Linked DNA regions of Caenorhabditis elegans. The protein of the gene in region 2 interacts with the protein of the main gene of each other region in a pairwise test. Each region holds a gene or a part of one and is shown on either strand. Other genes may lie near its edges.

Region 1 (3,642 bases), on a different chromosome or scaffold from region 2:
TTGCACAGTTGCCAATTGCAGATGCAGATTTGTATCGACTCCTTCGAAATGTGTGCATTGTGTGAAGATCGGGATAAGTGCCCAAGGAGATTTTCATTGGCAGGATACACTTGATGTGGATCATGAAAAGAAAGCATCTCCAATCGGGAATTATTTGAAAAAGGATAAAATGAAATCTGTGATGTGTGCTTTCGATACTGCTATTCTCGACTGTCCTCCCATATCAAAAAAGTAAGATATTTAAAAATAATAAAGTTTAAGTACCTAATTTATTTCAGGGTCCGCTCAAAACTTCATTCCTCTTTTCCCTCCTATAATGGATTCGTCAACAGTGTAGCTTCTGAAATGCTCAATGACAGTGTAATCCTCGTGGAGATTGACAAAGAAAAAATAGAACCATTGGAAGAAACTGATTCAGAGCAAGGAGAAGTTCCTGACAACGCGGAGGCACTGAATCGGATTCTTGAAAAACTGGTTGCCGCCACGGCTAAAAACTCACTGATTATGATGATCTTGTCTAATTCCACTAAAAACGTGCTCTATGTAAGAGTCAAATAATCTTTTTTTTTAATATTAAGTTTCTCATAAAATGAATAACAAATAAAATTTGGTTTAATTTAAACTTCAATTTCCAACAAAACAACAACATTGATAACAAAGAAACGAAACAGTGAAATCATAAAATTTACTTGGCGGCTTTACTGAGCTTTGCCTTCTTTTTCAGCTTTTCCAAATCGATCGGCGCGTCGTTCGGTCGCTTCTTGTTCTGTTTTTCTCGCGGAGCTTCCTCTTTTGCTTGATACACTTTCAACTTTTGCTTCTGTTTTTCCACAGTCTTCACCGCCGATGCTTCCAATTTCGCTCTGAAAATTTCATAAATTTATTAAATTCCGTTACGATTTTTGAATTAAGAATACTTACCTCTTTTTGTTCATCTTTCTTTCGTTCTCGCGAATAAAATATTCTCCGCTTTCAATCTGCTTGTCAATCTTGCTCATAACTGGAGCCGGTGGGAACGGAGTGAACTCCTTCTTGGGCTTCATCTTGTAAGCCTTCTTCTTCTTTGCTTCCTTTGTTGTAGTTGCAGATTGAACCTTCTTTCGGTAGTTTGGAAGATAAGCATCCCAGTTTGCATCTTTCAATTCATCATTTTTAGATAATTCCCTTTTGATCATCATAGTTTTAATATTGTAGATTGGGTGAATATTTTTCATACAATCAGTGACGATTTGACTGAAATTTTTTATGATTTCAAAGAGAGTCAGAATATATTTTCAACTCACTTGATTTGTTTCAGTCCAGCAAGCGGTCCAACAGCACAAACAGTTCCTCCTTGAACACAAACATAGCACTGTGTCAGCAATTCGAGAGCTTTCAAGGTAGCACCATCGTTTCCAATTAGCCGAGCTCTACGCTTCACAAATCGTTCTTTATTGCGAACCATTGAAGAGATTTTGATAATCTCGCAATAGATTTCATCTTCGAGAACACGAATCGCTTGTTCATAAGGCACACTACGGGATAGAAGCTTGATGACCTCGCGAGCCTTCATGATTATATAAGGATCCCAAGTTTTACGAGTAGTTCGGACACACATTGTTCCCTCGAGGAGATCCAAATCTGCTTTCAGGAAATGCTCTCCTAGAGCTTTTTCGATGAGTGGCCAACTTTCTTTAATATACTTTTCGCGATATTTGGGGAATAATGAAGAAAATGATGACTCTTGGAGTAGACCATTCGGATTGTCTTCCTGAAAAATGTATTCATTTTCTTCAGGTTCATACTACAAGAGAAAAATTACATGGAACCAACTTTTTTCATTGCTTAACATTTAATTTTTCAGAAAATATTTAGTGTTTTGGAGATTTTAAAATTAGTTTTAAGTAAATTTAGCAGGTAACTTCAAAAATCGAAATATATTTATTTAGAATACAATATCAAAAACATACCTTGCTGAAAGTGTTAATATCCCACCACTCTGCATCTTTCTGTGGTCCGAACATTTTTGCAGTCTCTTTCCGCGTCTTCTTCTCTTCCTCCGGTTCACCAGCCCATTCGGGCTCGTATTCTCCACGAGGTTTAGCTTTTTTGTCAACGTTGCTCATCTTAAATTATTTTTAATTAATATTTAATGTTTTATACAAAATAAAATAAAGTTATATACAAAAAAAATCAGAAGAAATTGATTAAAAATGAAGAAAAAGGGAACAAAAACTGAGAGAGGAATTCGTGCGGCAGCATTGCATAAAAAGTGCGCGGGGGTTGCGACTCCTGCTTCACGCTCCGCCCACTGGTTTGTCGATTAATTTTTCTGTGCGGAATTTACACTGCTTCTGCTGGCTTTTCTTATGTTTTAACTGTTTTTGTGTTTTATATAATTCTGAAAGTTAAATCTTGTTTCAATTTGCGTCTATTTTACCTGTTTTTTTAAACAAATAAGTGGCAGGTAATGAACGGCGCAACAACTGAAGCAGAGGACCATAGCGTATACTTGCCTTCTGCGCATCCGACTGATCAGATTGACGTAATTTTTTATTTTGTTGCGTTCAATTTCATTATAATCTTGTTCAGCCAATCGAGGGAACATCATCGGAGAATAATGATTCGCCAATTGATGAAAGCTCGAATGATTCGACTACTTCTTCGTTGTCAGTACTAAAGCCCACTGATCCTGTAAAATGCGATACGTGTTCAGTATTGGCTACGCTATCGTTTTTCAAGCAGCGCCAGGTTGGTTGTACAGGATAAGCTAAAACAAATTGGAAAAATTTCAGCCAGCGAGTGGCGGCAAAACAGAGGATATCTTCAAAAGCTATTGCAGTAATTGCAAAACTTTTTTTGGAATGTCCTCCAAGAAAGTCAGAGGAGTATTTTCGTTTGTGAATGAAGGTAGAGACACGATACTTTTATAGAAAATTTAAAATTACAATTTCAGATGGAAGAATATTGTCCAATAGTGAAAGACTTGAATTCCTTCGTTCTCAGAAAAGAGCCAGATCCGCTTCACGCTCAAATAGTGTATGTCAAGTACCTGAAAAAGGTTCGGGAGTTTCCAATTCTGACACGTCGACTAATGGGAATTCGGATGAGAAGGACGAAGAAATTGCTAAAGAAGATGATGAAGGCATCGATGAGGATGATGGTGATGAGGAAACACCTGAACAAAAAACCACCATCCCAAAAAAGAAACCCAAAAATGCGTTTGGTGGAAAATCAAAGAAAAACAATTGGGGAACTCGGAAGAAGAGCAAAGCCAAAGTCTCTCAAGTTCAGTCCACGAGTTCCGAGAAAATCAGTAAAAAGGACCAAGAAAATGCTCGTAAGTACGAGTTTTCGAATATTGTTGCCAAATATTTTATTTTCAGGTCCGAGAGAAACTAAATTAAGAAATACGCCAACTGTCACACCAATCGACAAAAAGAGAGGTCGACCCATAAAAATCTCACCAAGAGCTGCGACGATTTCGAGTGTATCAACAAAGCCAACACATACTTCTGAATTTTTCAAAAGTTCTCCTATAACGTCACATGTGTCCAAAACTGCGGAAACTTGCTGCCAAACCGATACGGATCTCTTATTGAAATCAACATATCTCAAGGAATGCTTCAATACAACTGTCAGAGATGCCCTTGGAGAGCCGGT
Region 2 (3,929 bases):
AATCGGCACAAATCGTCTCTTCCGCGCGTCCCGCCCCATTGGGTCCCGGATGTCTGTCACTCTCTAACTATCTACACTCTCTGTACCGGTAATAGGACACTTTGCAAACATGCATACAAACACGCCAATGACCCTTTTCTAATTAAAAACGCAAAACCACTTTTCAAGAGTCGACCGATCGGAAAAGGTGGCGATCGACAACACACTCCTCACAACATGATGACGAAAACCTTGAAAAGGAATAGAAAAAAACAAGGACGAATGGTGAGCGGCTCGTTTAGGTTGAATGCATTTGAAAAATATGAAAACGAGAGTCGATATGGGAATTCTCAATAAAACATTTGAAAGTCCGAATAGGAGAGGTTCACAAACCAAATGAGGGGAGAAACGAACCGTCTGTTGGTTTTTTTTGTTTCGAACACACAGTTGTGTTTGTCCTTTGCATTAGCTGGTATGACGAGAACTTTGAACTTTGGCGTTGAATAATTGCTACTGCAACACGTATTGTACTGGTGTATTTTAATCGCACAATTACTCTGAAACATTTTTTATTCTTAGAAAACAAATAAATAGAAATCGAAGTACAAAAAATTGGGATTTTCAGGAATGTGCAAGCTTTTTCAGTTCTTTCGCTTTTTTGTTGCAGGTCTCTCAAAAACTGGTCTGGATCCTCCGGCTCTTTTCGTGGAGAATTGAGAATTCAACTGATTCGTTGATGCCCAAACACCTTGATGATCTGTTGTATCTTCTTCTGTCAAGTGCGTATACTTGGTTCGAGATGCTTTTCCAAAGTTTTTGACCTGAAATAAATAATTTAGTTCAATTATCACTATAATAAGTTACGAGTATTTACCTGCATAACTTTCGGCAGAATAGTTTTATCAAATTGATCATCGTTGGTAGCTTCGGCAAAGTTTCTCTTGAGTACTTCATCTTCTTCATCCAAGAAGAAAGCTCCACGATGGAAATATTTTTGAAGGAACTTGTATTTTCCTTTGTCCTGTTTGTTAGTGATAACCTTTGGATTTAAACGAAGATATTTGAGTCGTTCTTCCTCGGACATTGCGTGAATCTTGTCAAGTTCTGCCTTCTCGCGTGCGGCTTCTTCACGTTCGTCACGGTTTCTCTGCAAAAAAAAATTGGATATCGGATATTATAGTGAGAATTTTTTTGAGAAATTTCTATGTCAATTTATTAAAAAACTCAAAAAAAAAACTTCGAAGATCTACATTCAAAATTTTGCAGCAAAAATTTACCTTCAATCGTTTCATTTCTCTGAGCTTCCACGCCTCATATGCCATATTTTCAGTTTCATCGTCGGTTAGAACAGATGACAAATCAACACGATCTTCTGTTTTTCTTTTCTCAGCAGCTTCTTCCTCTTGAAGAACCTTTTCAACTAATTTTGCACTTTCTCTCTTCCGTTCTTCAGCTCTTTTTTCGTCTTCGATCTTTTTCAGAATTTCTTTTTCTTTCTCCTTCTCGGCTTCTTGCAAAGTGATACGATCCTTCTTTCTTGTGAAAATAGGCTTCAATCTTGGAACTGGATCGTCATCTTCATCTGAATCTTCCTCTTCACTACTTTCTTCTTCTTCCTCCTCTTCAACATCATCTTCTTCAAGTTCTTCTTTAATTTCTCGTTTTATTTCTTCCTCTCTTTTAATAGCTCTATCTCTGAGCATTTGACGTCTTCTTTCAAAATCTTCTTCATCTGATTCAGCACTGTCTTCTTGTTCTTCATCTTTTTCTCTGTTATTTTCATGTAATTCCAATCTTCTCATTCTGGCTCTTTCTCTTCTCTCTTCTTGTTTCTCTTCGTCTTCTTCAGATTCCTGTTCATTTTCAGATGATTCGTCCTCTACTTTTCCAAGAACTTCTGGCTTCTCCACCTGTCGTCGTCTACCATAATCTTCGTGTCTTCTGTGGCGTCTTCTATCTTCTTCATCACTACTTTCACGACGTCTACGTCTTCTTCGATCATCATCTCGATCTGTCTCTCGGTCTGATTCACTGCTGTCACTGTCGTAGTTACGAGCATATTCTGGTCTGAAAATCAATGTTTTAAAGACTAATTCAACCATTAAACGAAAAAAAACTTACGCCTTTCCAGCCACATATCTTGAAACTTTCACTTTCTGCATAACAGTTTGTCCTTTCTCATTTTTGATTGGAATGGCTCCAAGAGTCGGAAGACGCGAATGTCCGAAACTTCGATTATCGCTTTCGCGTTGTTCAAATCCAGGTACATAATCTCCCATTCTGAAAGTTATTTTTAAAATTAACCCTTTTTAATTTCGGCAAAAAATAGTCAGAAACAATAAAGAGTAAATATGTAAAATTTTTAATTGAATTTTTCGAAAAAAATAATAAGCATTAAATTGCTCGTAAGTTATAATGCATAAAGAGTACCTCACGTGGTGTATGCAGACCCAACAGCACATCTTACGACAGTCTCGTTTACGAAAATATTTTCAAATATCAATTTTGGCCAAATTTTCTTGCTAAACGCTCATTTTTTTCTTTTTTTTTTACTCAAAACGTTTTTCAGAATGTTCCGTAAACCAAAGGCAAAAGGTGCTATTCGCCAACGGAAATCTGACGGATGGGATGAACCTGATGCTGAAAACCAACAAGTAGTCTCGGCTATCGAAGTGAGTTTTAATGAATTTCAACATTCTTTTTAATTTAATTTTTATTTAAAGGTCAAACAACCTGCTGTGCCTCGTCCAGCCATGAGTTTCGATGCTGATGAAGGAGCTGATTCGACGTTCAAACTTAAGAAAGACAAGAAAAAAGTTGAAGAATTGAAACGTCAACACAAACTAGAGGAGGAAGCTGAAAAATTATATAAGGAAGAGAAAATTCGTAAGGAAGCGCTTGATAAAATTGTGAAAAAGGAGAAACTCTCAAAAGAAGACAAAAAGACGAAAAATGAGCGGCATAAATACCTTGACAAATATCGTGACAAATCTGCTAAGCACATTTCGAATTCGGAGAGCTACGAATACGAAGAAAATTTGGATATTGATGCAGAAGCAATTTCATCAGTTTCCAATAAATTCAATTCTGCTTTTGAAGGTATTCCCGACTCTCGTGCCGTTTTCGAAGCAAAAAAACGCCGAGAACGAGCCAGAAGAGAGGGAAATCAAGACGGATATATTCCTTTGGATGACACACAAAAACTTAAATCTAAAAGTGAACGAAATCGATTGATTCGAGAAGATGAGAATGATGATTCGGATGAAGAGTGTACAAATAAATTCTATTCGGCTCGTGAGCTACTTCGAACAGAAGAAGATCGTCGTAGAGAAGAACAAGAAGGATTTTTAGAACGAGAAAATGGAGATATTGATGAAGCTGAACGAATAAAAGGTGATGATGATAGTGAAAATGAGGAATGGGAAAAACAACAAATTCGGAAAGCTGTTAGTCGGAGAGAGGTGAGCTTTTTGTGGTAATAGAGATCGTGAATCTGAAAATTTAAAAATTATAGATAGGCCAACTGCGAACAGAAAAACGAAATACTTCTAAATTATTTGGGCATACAGTTCCTGTTGAAGATGACACAGCAATGGATATGGATATTGATCTTGATATGGATGTTCAAGTAATTGGAAAACCGGAATTTACTGGTATATTATTTTGTTTGAAGACAAATAATTTTAATTAATTTCAGGACCATCAAATACCGGAGGAGTTGTAAAAATTGAAGATATTCTTGCTAAATTAAAATTGCGGATTCAAGAACGAGATGAAGCATTGAATTTCAGAAAAGAAGAAAAACGAAAATTGGAGCAAAATATTGAAGAAAACAAATCAATGATTGCAAAGGTAACAAGTATTTCAATAATTATATATATATATCATTTTTTAATAATTTCAGATTGAAATGGAGCTTCCTAACCAAAGTACCAAATACACAATGTATC
Region 3 (4,845 bases), on a different chromosome or scaffold from region 2:
GGACGAGGAAAGTGGTAGAAGACTTGAGAGCAGGGAAATGCTGTAAAATGAATGGAATTTATTGGGAATGCTTTCATGTTTACATAAACGAGAATGCATTCTTTAAGTGGATCAATTTGAAAAATGGAACACATCAATGGAATTTAGAAATTTGTTGTGTTTCTCTTAGAAAGTAATTTTGTTAGAAACCTCTCCAAATGGGAAAAACTCAAATATCATAGTAAATCTTTTCAAAAAACTTGTCTGAATTTTTAATTCAAATTGTGTTGTGAAAACTTAGTTTGCACCTATCATAATTTCAAGTGTGGCAGATTTTTGTTTCTATGAGTTTTTATACTTTAATTGCCTTTTTTTTTATTTGCATATATTGCTCTATTTCAACATTCTGAGGACGAACCAATGCTCGAAATTACTTAGAATGCCCATATTTTTGGAACATTTCGTAAATTACCAAAACATTGAATGTAAGTTTTTTAAAAATTGAAAAAAGGGCTTTTCTGAATCAACTTCTCTATTTTGAATTCACATTTAAAATTGAAAGAATATTTCAAGTTTCTAGAATTGAAAAGTAGATGGCACTTCATAAGAAAAGAAAGAGGAACAGGGAACAATCTGCCAACATTTTTGATGAATTGCTCCCAAACAAAGAGTGAACGACAGCATTTTGATGGACAAAGAGAGAGTCAAAGGGGTCAAGAAAGTGAACATACTCTACCATGACAAGGCTGTTCTCTTCTGGTGATTCAAAACTGAAAGGTTTGAAGCAATTCGAAACTGACGGAAAGGACACGCTCCGGTAAAAACGATGAATGAACATCAGAAATGGAACACACATGGCAACAACACGGACCGATGAACACCTGGCTAGCCACGAGGATTTGCCGGATTTTCGAGGATTTTAGTTAGTTCATAAACAAATTGGGGTTTGGATGGTGTTAATTAGAAATTTTTTGATAGTTTTTTGTAGAGAGGGCTTGAAAACGTTATTGAAAATCCATGTGAGCTATATAAAGTTTTTTCAACTTTTTGATAGATGATTTTCTGGTTAATGTTTAATCTATGACTTGTATATTTTTGTTGTTTTTTCTATTTTTTCTATTTTTCACAGTACAAAATTATTTTTAAAAAATCTATTTAGAGATTCAGGAGAAATGATATCAATTTTGGCAAACTTTCATAACTTTTAGACGCCATTGCGAAATTTTACTAATGGTTATTGAAAAATAATCGTTTCGCGGACTTGAAGTTATGTAGCTCTTTCTTTCTTGTCATTCTTGAAAAAAATTCACCAATTTTCTCCGTTTTTCTTCCAACTTACTTAGTATCTTGGTTACCTTTTCCTAGACCTCCCCGACTTTCAAACTTAATTAGACCACACTTGCAACTATCTTTAAAAATTCAGAGAATTTCACTTTCATGGCCAAGAGCAGCAATAAAAGTCAGAAAAGTGAAAGAAAAGAGAAATAGAGTGCAACACAGAAACAAGAATGGACAAGAGAACGGACAACCCATTGTTTCAGAATGTCGTTCCTTTTCTCTGTGTCTCTTTTGAATTCATACACATGTTCCATGAAACATGCTCGCGCACAGATTGAAATGAACAGAAAGAGACGAGGAAGAGTGCGAATGATTTATTCATCAATGCTCTGGTATGTTCAGAGCTTTGCAACAAATGAAAAAGAGCACAAATGGAACATTTCTGAATAATATTGATTCGTAACTTAACTTTGCTTCATAACTTTAGAACATCTTGAAAAAATTGCACAAAAAAGAGTTTTGTCTGTCGTTTGGGAAGTAGAGTTGCGTTGTGGAGACATTATTTTTCCTAGGGCTGAGTAAGGCTGAGTAATCTAGTATCCTACCAAATAATTTAGATAATTTTTTAAAAAGGCTGCGGTTTCTTTGGAGAAATTACATGAAATAAAAAGTTCTGAACACTTCAACACACATTCAAAAGTTTTGTTACATTCCGATCTAAGCTATAAGTCATATTTTTGGAAAACCAACAAAAAATTCTGAACGAAAATCCAGTAGGTTTCAAGGAAAACCGTACAGCCAACAAGAAAAGATCATAGAAAATCACATCTGGATGGCCTTCCGTTCTATTTCTTTTGCCGGATTGTCACTAAATCATCTGCGAATGATAAATGACCGTAACCAAAGAAAACTAATCAAGTGTATAGAATACGGGAAATGAGGTCATTGGAAAAAAGGCCTAACTGGAAATTAGGCTGAAGCTACTGCTAATACTAGTGTTACGAAACACGACAAGAAAAAGTAATCAATTCAGAAGCATCGCCAATAAACCAACAAATAGAACATATAATCAAGTTATCTGAATGCACGAGATAGGCGTAAAGGACGTACGAACATGCCAGCTTAGAGATTATAGGAAATTGTGAGTCACAGACAAAAACGCAAGTTGAGATAGCAATCTTTTGCTCGATGAGGGTGAAGGTCCGGTCAACTGATGACCACTAAAGATAGACACAACATACTACCAAAGCTTTATAAAAACGAATAATTGGAAAAATAGGAAAATTTGTTAGCGATAAGAAAAATTTGAATTATCCAAATGTGAATGTAAAGATAGCCTGCCAAATTTGAAAAAAAAACGCATCTTTGTGAACATTTTACAAAACTACAATAAAGATGGTTTAGCTTTTGTCAAAACATACCAACAAAAAAAACACTATAATTTTCGAAACACTAAATGTTTTATGATTTTTGGAAAGTTTTATTTTTCCGTTCTTCAAACTATTCAGTGACTCGATTTTTTTCCAAACCTTTTTTCTATAAAATAAAAAACTTTACCCATTTTCCATTTAACATCTAAACGTTTCAAATTGGCTAAGATCAAACGGCAAACACTTGAAAAGTGTGCATAAGGTAATTACGAGAAACCATTTGGGAGTCAAGTGTTTACGGACCACTGACATTTCTTTGGTTACCACAATAAGAACTCACCACTTTTCACCAAAAAGTTGATCTTCTTCGTCACTGTCAACTTCCAGATCGCATTCCTCTTCGCAACTGTCCATATTGGCTGAAATTTTGGAATTCAATCTTGAATAAATGTAACAAAAAGAAAATGGATCTTCTGAGACACAAAGTTTACCGGAAATGTACATGTAGCTTTGTTTTAGAGTTGAAACTTGAGAAGTCGTATAAGAAAGAAGGAAAAAATTGGAAGGGAAAGGAAAACTTTAAGGGGTCAAAAACCTTTTTTAAAGAAAAAAAACTGAAAAAATTCGTCAAATCAAAAAATCTAGCATCAAAAATTGCTCGTTTTTCGACTTTTAGAAATATCCAAAGTATTTGCCCAAACTTGCGCAAATAATATTTGTATACTAAATTCTGAATATCTAGTTTTCAATCAGCAGGAAACAGACTTTTATTGAATTTTTTTCATAGATTTCTCTAGTTTATTGTCACAATAAATCCACTTTTTCTAGTCTTAAAAATATGTATTGTATGTAGAACAATCTTTTTATTCTCAAGTTAAAAAATTATGAACCCTTGCAATCTAGAAAAAATTCAAAACACGACTTGTCAAGCTAATCCAAATAAAACAATAACAAAAACAAAATTGAGATTTCCGCTCTCTAAATACCGTATTTTCCTATGTTTGAACCACACTACTCTACATTGACGGCTTATATTTCAGTGGTTTAAGCTCAACGAAAAACTGTTCAACTATACAAATATAGCAAATTATTTGACACCTACTTTTACAGTTTAAAATGTCTCAATAAAATATAAGAAGACCGAGATATTTATGAGTTGTTAAAGTAGAGCAAAGTGATGCAAGGCCAAATTTGAGTGTGTGGTCTAAAGTTTTTAAGACAGAAGGAAAACCCAATTGACCACTAAATAATCTACACCAAATTTTCTTCCGTCTCCTCGAAAAAACAACAACATCTGCATAAAAAAGTGATTGACCTTCCCTCTGTCGGGATCGTTGCTAACAAAGTGCAAAAGCGATGATACAAGTCAAGGGATACCCCCCTCCCCCGCACAACAACAAGAAAGAATAAAAAAGAAGGCGGGGACAGCAAAGAGGGACACATATATCTCTTCCGCGCGGAAAGAAAGCGGCAAAAACGTACTAATGCGCGAGAAAAGAAGCAGAAGAAGCATATAATGACCTTTTTATGATAAAGTCTCGTGGGACAACCGGACCATCAATATGGTATTGAGTATAGAATATGCAAATTTTGGTTGAATAGAAAAACGAAGAGAAAATGGAACAGAAGGAGAGTTCAGAGTGCGCAAATAATGGAAGGAACGCGCGTAATCTGGAAGAGTTGACATAAAAAATAAGAGGATTATTCATAATTGAGTCGCTCGGCACGATACGGTAAGGAAACTATAATGAAGAAGATTACAAGACAATCAAAACTAGAACTTTTAAAAAAGTTTTCAGAAAAACTTGGTAGCAGTAAGGTAGTTATAGGTAAGTAAGGTATAGAGCACATTCTGAAGTTGGAAATTTCAAGTTTTTTTTTTTTTGAAAAAAAAGTGAAGTTTCTGCTGAAACCATAGAAAACTATAGTTCAAATTTCCCGAAAATAATTACAGTTAGCGTCGCCAAGTTTAGCCAAGATAAATGAGTATTTTATGCAAGAATTTTTGTAAAACTTCCAACCGAAAAGCTATTTGTACTTCAAAAATGTTTATTCAACTCACCCTCCATTATGTAGATGAGTTGATGGTTTTTCACAATTGGAATGAACACATAGTAAGACTACTCTACAGATAGAGTTGAATAAAAATGTTCTGCTTTTCAACTATTTAGTCATGATCGTTTAAGACAAAGGACAAAAGCAAGTTTTGAAAATTCGA
Region 4 (3,366 bases), 5.3 Mb from region 2:
ATGCTGAAAAATTCAAAAATTCTTCTTTTTTCCTGCATTTTCAATTAAATTTACAGTAGTTCTATCAGATTTTTGAATTCAACACCCGGAATTAATCGAAAAATGAATTTTCAGTTGAAAACTGGCCAATGTCTTGCTGGGAAACAATTAAAACATGAGAATTCCTATATTTGTGGCGGAAGATATCTCATAGCAAGACTTCTACCGTATCCTTGAAAAAGAATCACAGCACTTTGGAAGATAATTTCAGGAGCGCGCTTTATCTTAGCAGAATTAACACAAAAATGGACGACTCCCGTTTAGATGGAACGACTCTTTATAAAAAGGTCACACGAGAGACGCCTTCGGTTGAGTCATACAACTATCAGCCAAGCAAAGAACCGAAAAGCTTTGAAAGCTGCGAAGCCTGCTATCCGCCCCGCAGGCGAAGAACGGATCGACCAAGTACCCTGAGTGGCGTGCCAGGACTCGGAGTAAGCATTCAAAAAAATTAACAACGACAAATGGGTGCAAATATAATTGGTGAGACGAATGGAGTGAACAACAAAAAAAAAAGATTTAAGTTTAACAACAATTTCATTAGGAAACAATAACGAGCAGCAGTATTTACTTCTTGCTGGTCTTCTTGACCTCGGACTCGGAGTGATGGGAAGCCGAAGAGCGTCTGCGGGCGATCTTGGCGTCGTGCTCTTCCTTGGAGTACTTGGCGAGGAGCTTGTGGTAGGCAGCGGCGTCATCGCGCATCTTGATCTTCTGGTTGCGCTTCTGGCGGAGAAGGTACTTCTTTCTGGCGATACGAGCTGGGGTGATGAGACGCTGGATCTTTGGTGCGATGGTCTTGGTGACTCCTGGAAATTTAGACAGTTAAAAACTAAATTTAAAGAGAATATTGAAGAAACTCACCATCTGGGAAGGTCTTGTCGTGGGTGATGACGTATTTGGTGACATCGTCGTGCTTGGTCAAGTTGAAGAGCTTGCGGATCTTGGAGGCTCTCTTTGGTCCGAGCTTGCGTGGGAGAACGGAGTCGGTGAGTCCTTCGATCTCTCCATCTCCCTTCTTCACGATGACGAGGGAAAGAGCGGACATGTTGGCGTCGACGATGCATCCACGGACGGACTTTCTCTTGCGCTCTCCGTTCTTGCGCTCACGGTAGCAGGATTGTCCCTTCTTCAAGAGAAGACGAACACGTCCGTTGGTGAGAATTCCTTGCTTCATTGGGAATCCCTGCTTGTCGTTTCCTCCTCCGATTCTGACGACATATCCCTGGAAAAAAGCAACTCGTTTGAAAGAGCCGAGAATCGGTTCAAAAACAAAAACTGGGACTCTCAATGTATGTCTAGTCACAGCCATTTCAGCGAAGAAAAAGCACGTGAAACAATGAGGATTTGACACAGAAACATCACTTCGTTTCTGTGTTTTTGGGTGACTCGCTAACCTTCCACTCGTCACCGAGAGCATCGATGGCGACCTCCTGGGACATGCGCTTCTCGAAGAAGAGGCGAAGCTTCTTCTCCTCATCGACCTCGAACGACTTTTGGAGCCCGGTGGCTGGGTAGGCGAAGTTAAGTCTCATCGCTCAAATATTATTACCTGCAAGAAGAAAAACATTGGAAATGAGTTAACGGGGTGAGAAAAGGAGAAACTGAAGCGAAAAACGAAAACATGGGCCTAAAACTAATAAATTTGATTTTCCAAGCAAATATCCTGCGAAATGTGGAGGAAAACTATCAGGAAAACATTTAAAATTTTGAAAATTCGAAAAAAAAACCGAAAAGTTCGCCTAAAAATGAGAAATTCACCCAAAAATTCGAGGGAAAAATGAAAAAAGGAGCGAAAACTTTTTAGGCCAACGACAATTCCAGTTTAAAGGCGCACGCCCTTCGTGGCGAGACCCATCCCCCATCCGCCTCGTCGTCTGCTGCACCCCACCTTTCCCACACTATCTCGTCCGATGGATTTTATTTTTTTCCAAACTTTTCCGATTTTCCGACTCGATTTTCGGTTTTTCTTCGATTTCCGCCGAAAATTTGCTGTTTTTCTTGATTATCGATTTTTTATCCGCGTTTTAAGTGCCAAAACTTTGCTCTCACACTCAAATTGACTGATTTTCGAATTTTTTCAGATGCTTTGCACCCATATAAAGGCGGAAGATTGTGTGGAGCGTGTGCCCAAGGGGATGTTCCGCAAGAAACAGGACATGGAGGACAATAATTTGTTCTTGGAGGGAAATTCGAATCGTGGGAAGGTGGTGAAGTGAGTTTTTTTGAGAAATTTGGCTAGAAAATGGCTAAAAAAAGCTAAAAATAGCTTTAAAAACTCGTTTTTCTTCCAGAAACCAGGAAATAATTAAAACCTTCTGCGACGAATGCGATAATTGCAATAAATCGCTGATGTGCCTCACTTGCGGACGAATTCTGTGCGGAAGAAACGACTCGGGCCACGCTTTGCATCATTTTGAAGAAACCAGCCACCCAGTCGTCATTGATTGCATTTCTTTCGAGCTTTACTGCTATTCCTGTGATGATGAAGTGTCACTGGACTTTGAGCCATCTTTATATGGAGTTCTAAAATCGCTGAAGCTCCTTTTCGACCGGGAAGACGTTATGGAGGGAGGCGACGGGCCGACTATACCGGCACAGCCTTTTCAGTGCGTATTTTTCGAGGAAAATGGACTAAAAATTGGTTAAAAACCGATATTTTATCGATAAACCCTGCTAGAAATCGAATTTTCCACTGAAAAACGTTACAGTTCTCGTAAAAATCGTATTTCCCATGAAAAGTCCGATAAATTGCGATTTTCAGTGAAAAAAACGCCAATTTTCCTCAGAAATTCCATTTTTCTCTCTGGAATTTCTGAAAATTTTGATTTTTCAGTCAAAAACGTTCGTTTTCTCATAAAAATTTATTTTTCTTAAAAAAAAAAATGAAAATCCTAATTTTCATCGAAGAAACTTTAATTTTCCATTGGGAAATCATTTTTTCCGCAAAAACTTGAACAGAACCCTATTTTCCTCACGAGAATCACTAAAATTCCGATTTTCAGGTGAAAAAACATCAAAAAATCGTATTTCGCCCTAAGAATCCGAAAAATTCCGATTTTTCGGCAGAAACTCATCAATTTCTGCGATAAAATTCATTTTTCCCACTAAAAAGCCCCTAAATTGTGATTTTTCAGGGGAAAAAACATCAAAAATCCATTTTTCCTCCTAAAAAGCCAAAAAAATCCGATCTTTCAGCACAAAAAACTTCAAAATCCGTTTTTGCACCTAAACAGCCCAAAAATTCCGAATTTTTCAACGTTAACACTTTAAATTTATTTTAGAAAATCAGTTTTCACAATGAAAAAGCCCAAAACTTCCGATTTT

What was found.
Region 1: the proteins of mfap-1 (region 2) and krr-1 interact in a two-hybrid assay, tested with the Caenorhabditis elegans proteins (one study listed by BioGRID).
Region 3: the proteins of mfap-1 (region 2) and mig-10 interact in a two-hybrid assay, tested with the Caenorhabditis elegans proteins (one study listed by BioGRID).
Region 4: the proteins of mfap-1 (region 2) and rps-6 interact in a two-hybrid assay, tested with the Caenorhabditis elegans proteins (one study listed by BioGRID).

Annotation. Positions count from the first base shown.
Region 1 is NC_003283.11:7,229,653-7,233,294, reverse strand, and holds krr-1 (KRR1 small subunit processome component), read right to left. Parts: upstream 2,106-3,642; coding exon 1,950-2,105; intron 1,751-1,949; coding exon 1,284-1,750; intron 1,234-1,283; coding exon 922-1,233; intron 864-921; coding exon 686-863; 3' UTR 559-685; downstream 1-558. Other genes in the region: C05C8.5 (Exonuclease domain-containing protein), read left to right, coding at 1-231, 279-558; gei-6 (GEX Interacting protein), read left to right, coding at 2,450-2,524, 2,572-2,730, 2,775-2,889, 2,936-3,319, 3,366-3,642.
Region 2 is NC_003279.8:8,637,978-8,641,906, forward strand, and holds mfap-1 (Microfibrillar-associated protein 1), read right to left. Parts: upstream 2,260-3,929; 5' UTR 2,259-2,259; coding exon 2,101-2,258; intron 2,047-2,100; coding exon 1,257-2,046; intron 1,127-1,256; coding exon 854-1,126; intron 801-853; coding exon 621-800; 3' UTR 537-620; downstream 1-536. Other genes in the region: mog-7 (GCF C-terminal domain-containing protein), read left to right, coding at 2,550-2,651, 2,703-3,440, 3,494-3,632, 3,677-3,831, 3,884-3,929. UniProt on the Caenorhabditis elegans protein: Involved in pre-mRNA splicing.
Region 3 is NC_003281.10:8,277,304-8,282,148, reverse strand, and holds the start of mig-10 (Abnormal cell migration protein 10), read right to left. Parts: upstream 3,042-4,845; coding exon 2,968-3,041; intron 2,505-2,967; exon of another isoform or gene 2,413-2,504; intron 1,711-2,412; exon of another isoform or gene 1,574-1,710; intron 41-1,573; coding exon 1-40. UniProt on the Caenorhabditis elegans protein: Required cell non-autonomously for proper development of the excretory canals and for the long-range anterior-posterior migrations of embryonic neurons CAN, ALM and HSN.
Region 4 is NC_003279.8:13,950,386-13,953,751, reverse strand, and holds rps-6 (Small ribosomal subunit protein eS6), read right to left. Parts: upstream 1,592-3,366; 5' UTR 1,575-1,591; coding exon 1,437-1,574; intron 1,265-1,436; coding exon 904-1,264; intron 849-903; coding exon 607-848; 3' UTR 558-606; downstream 1-557. Other genes in the region: usp-3 (Ubiquitin carboxyl-terminal hydrolase), read left to right, coding at 2,124-2,254, 2,334-2,648.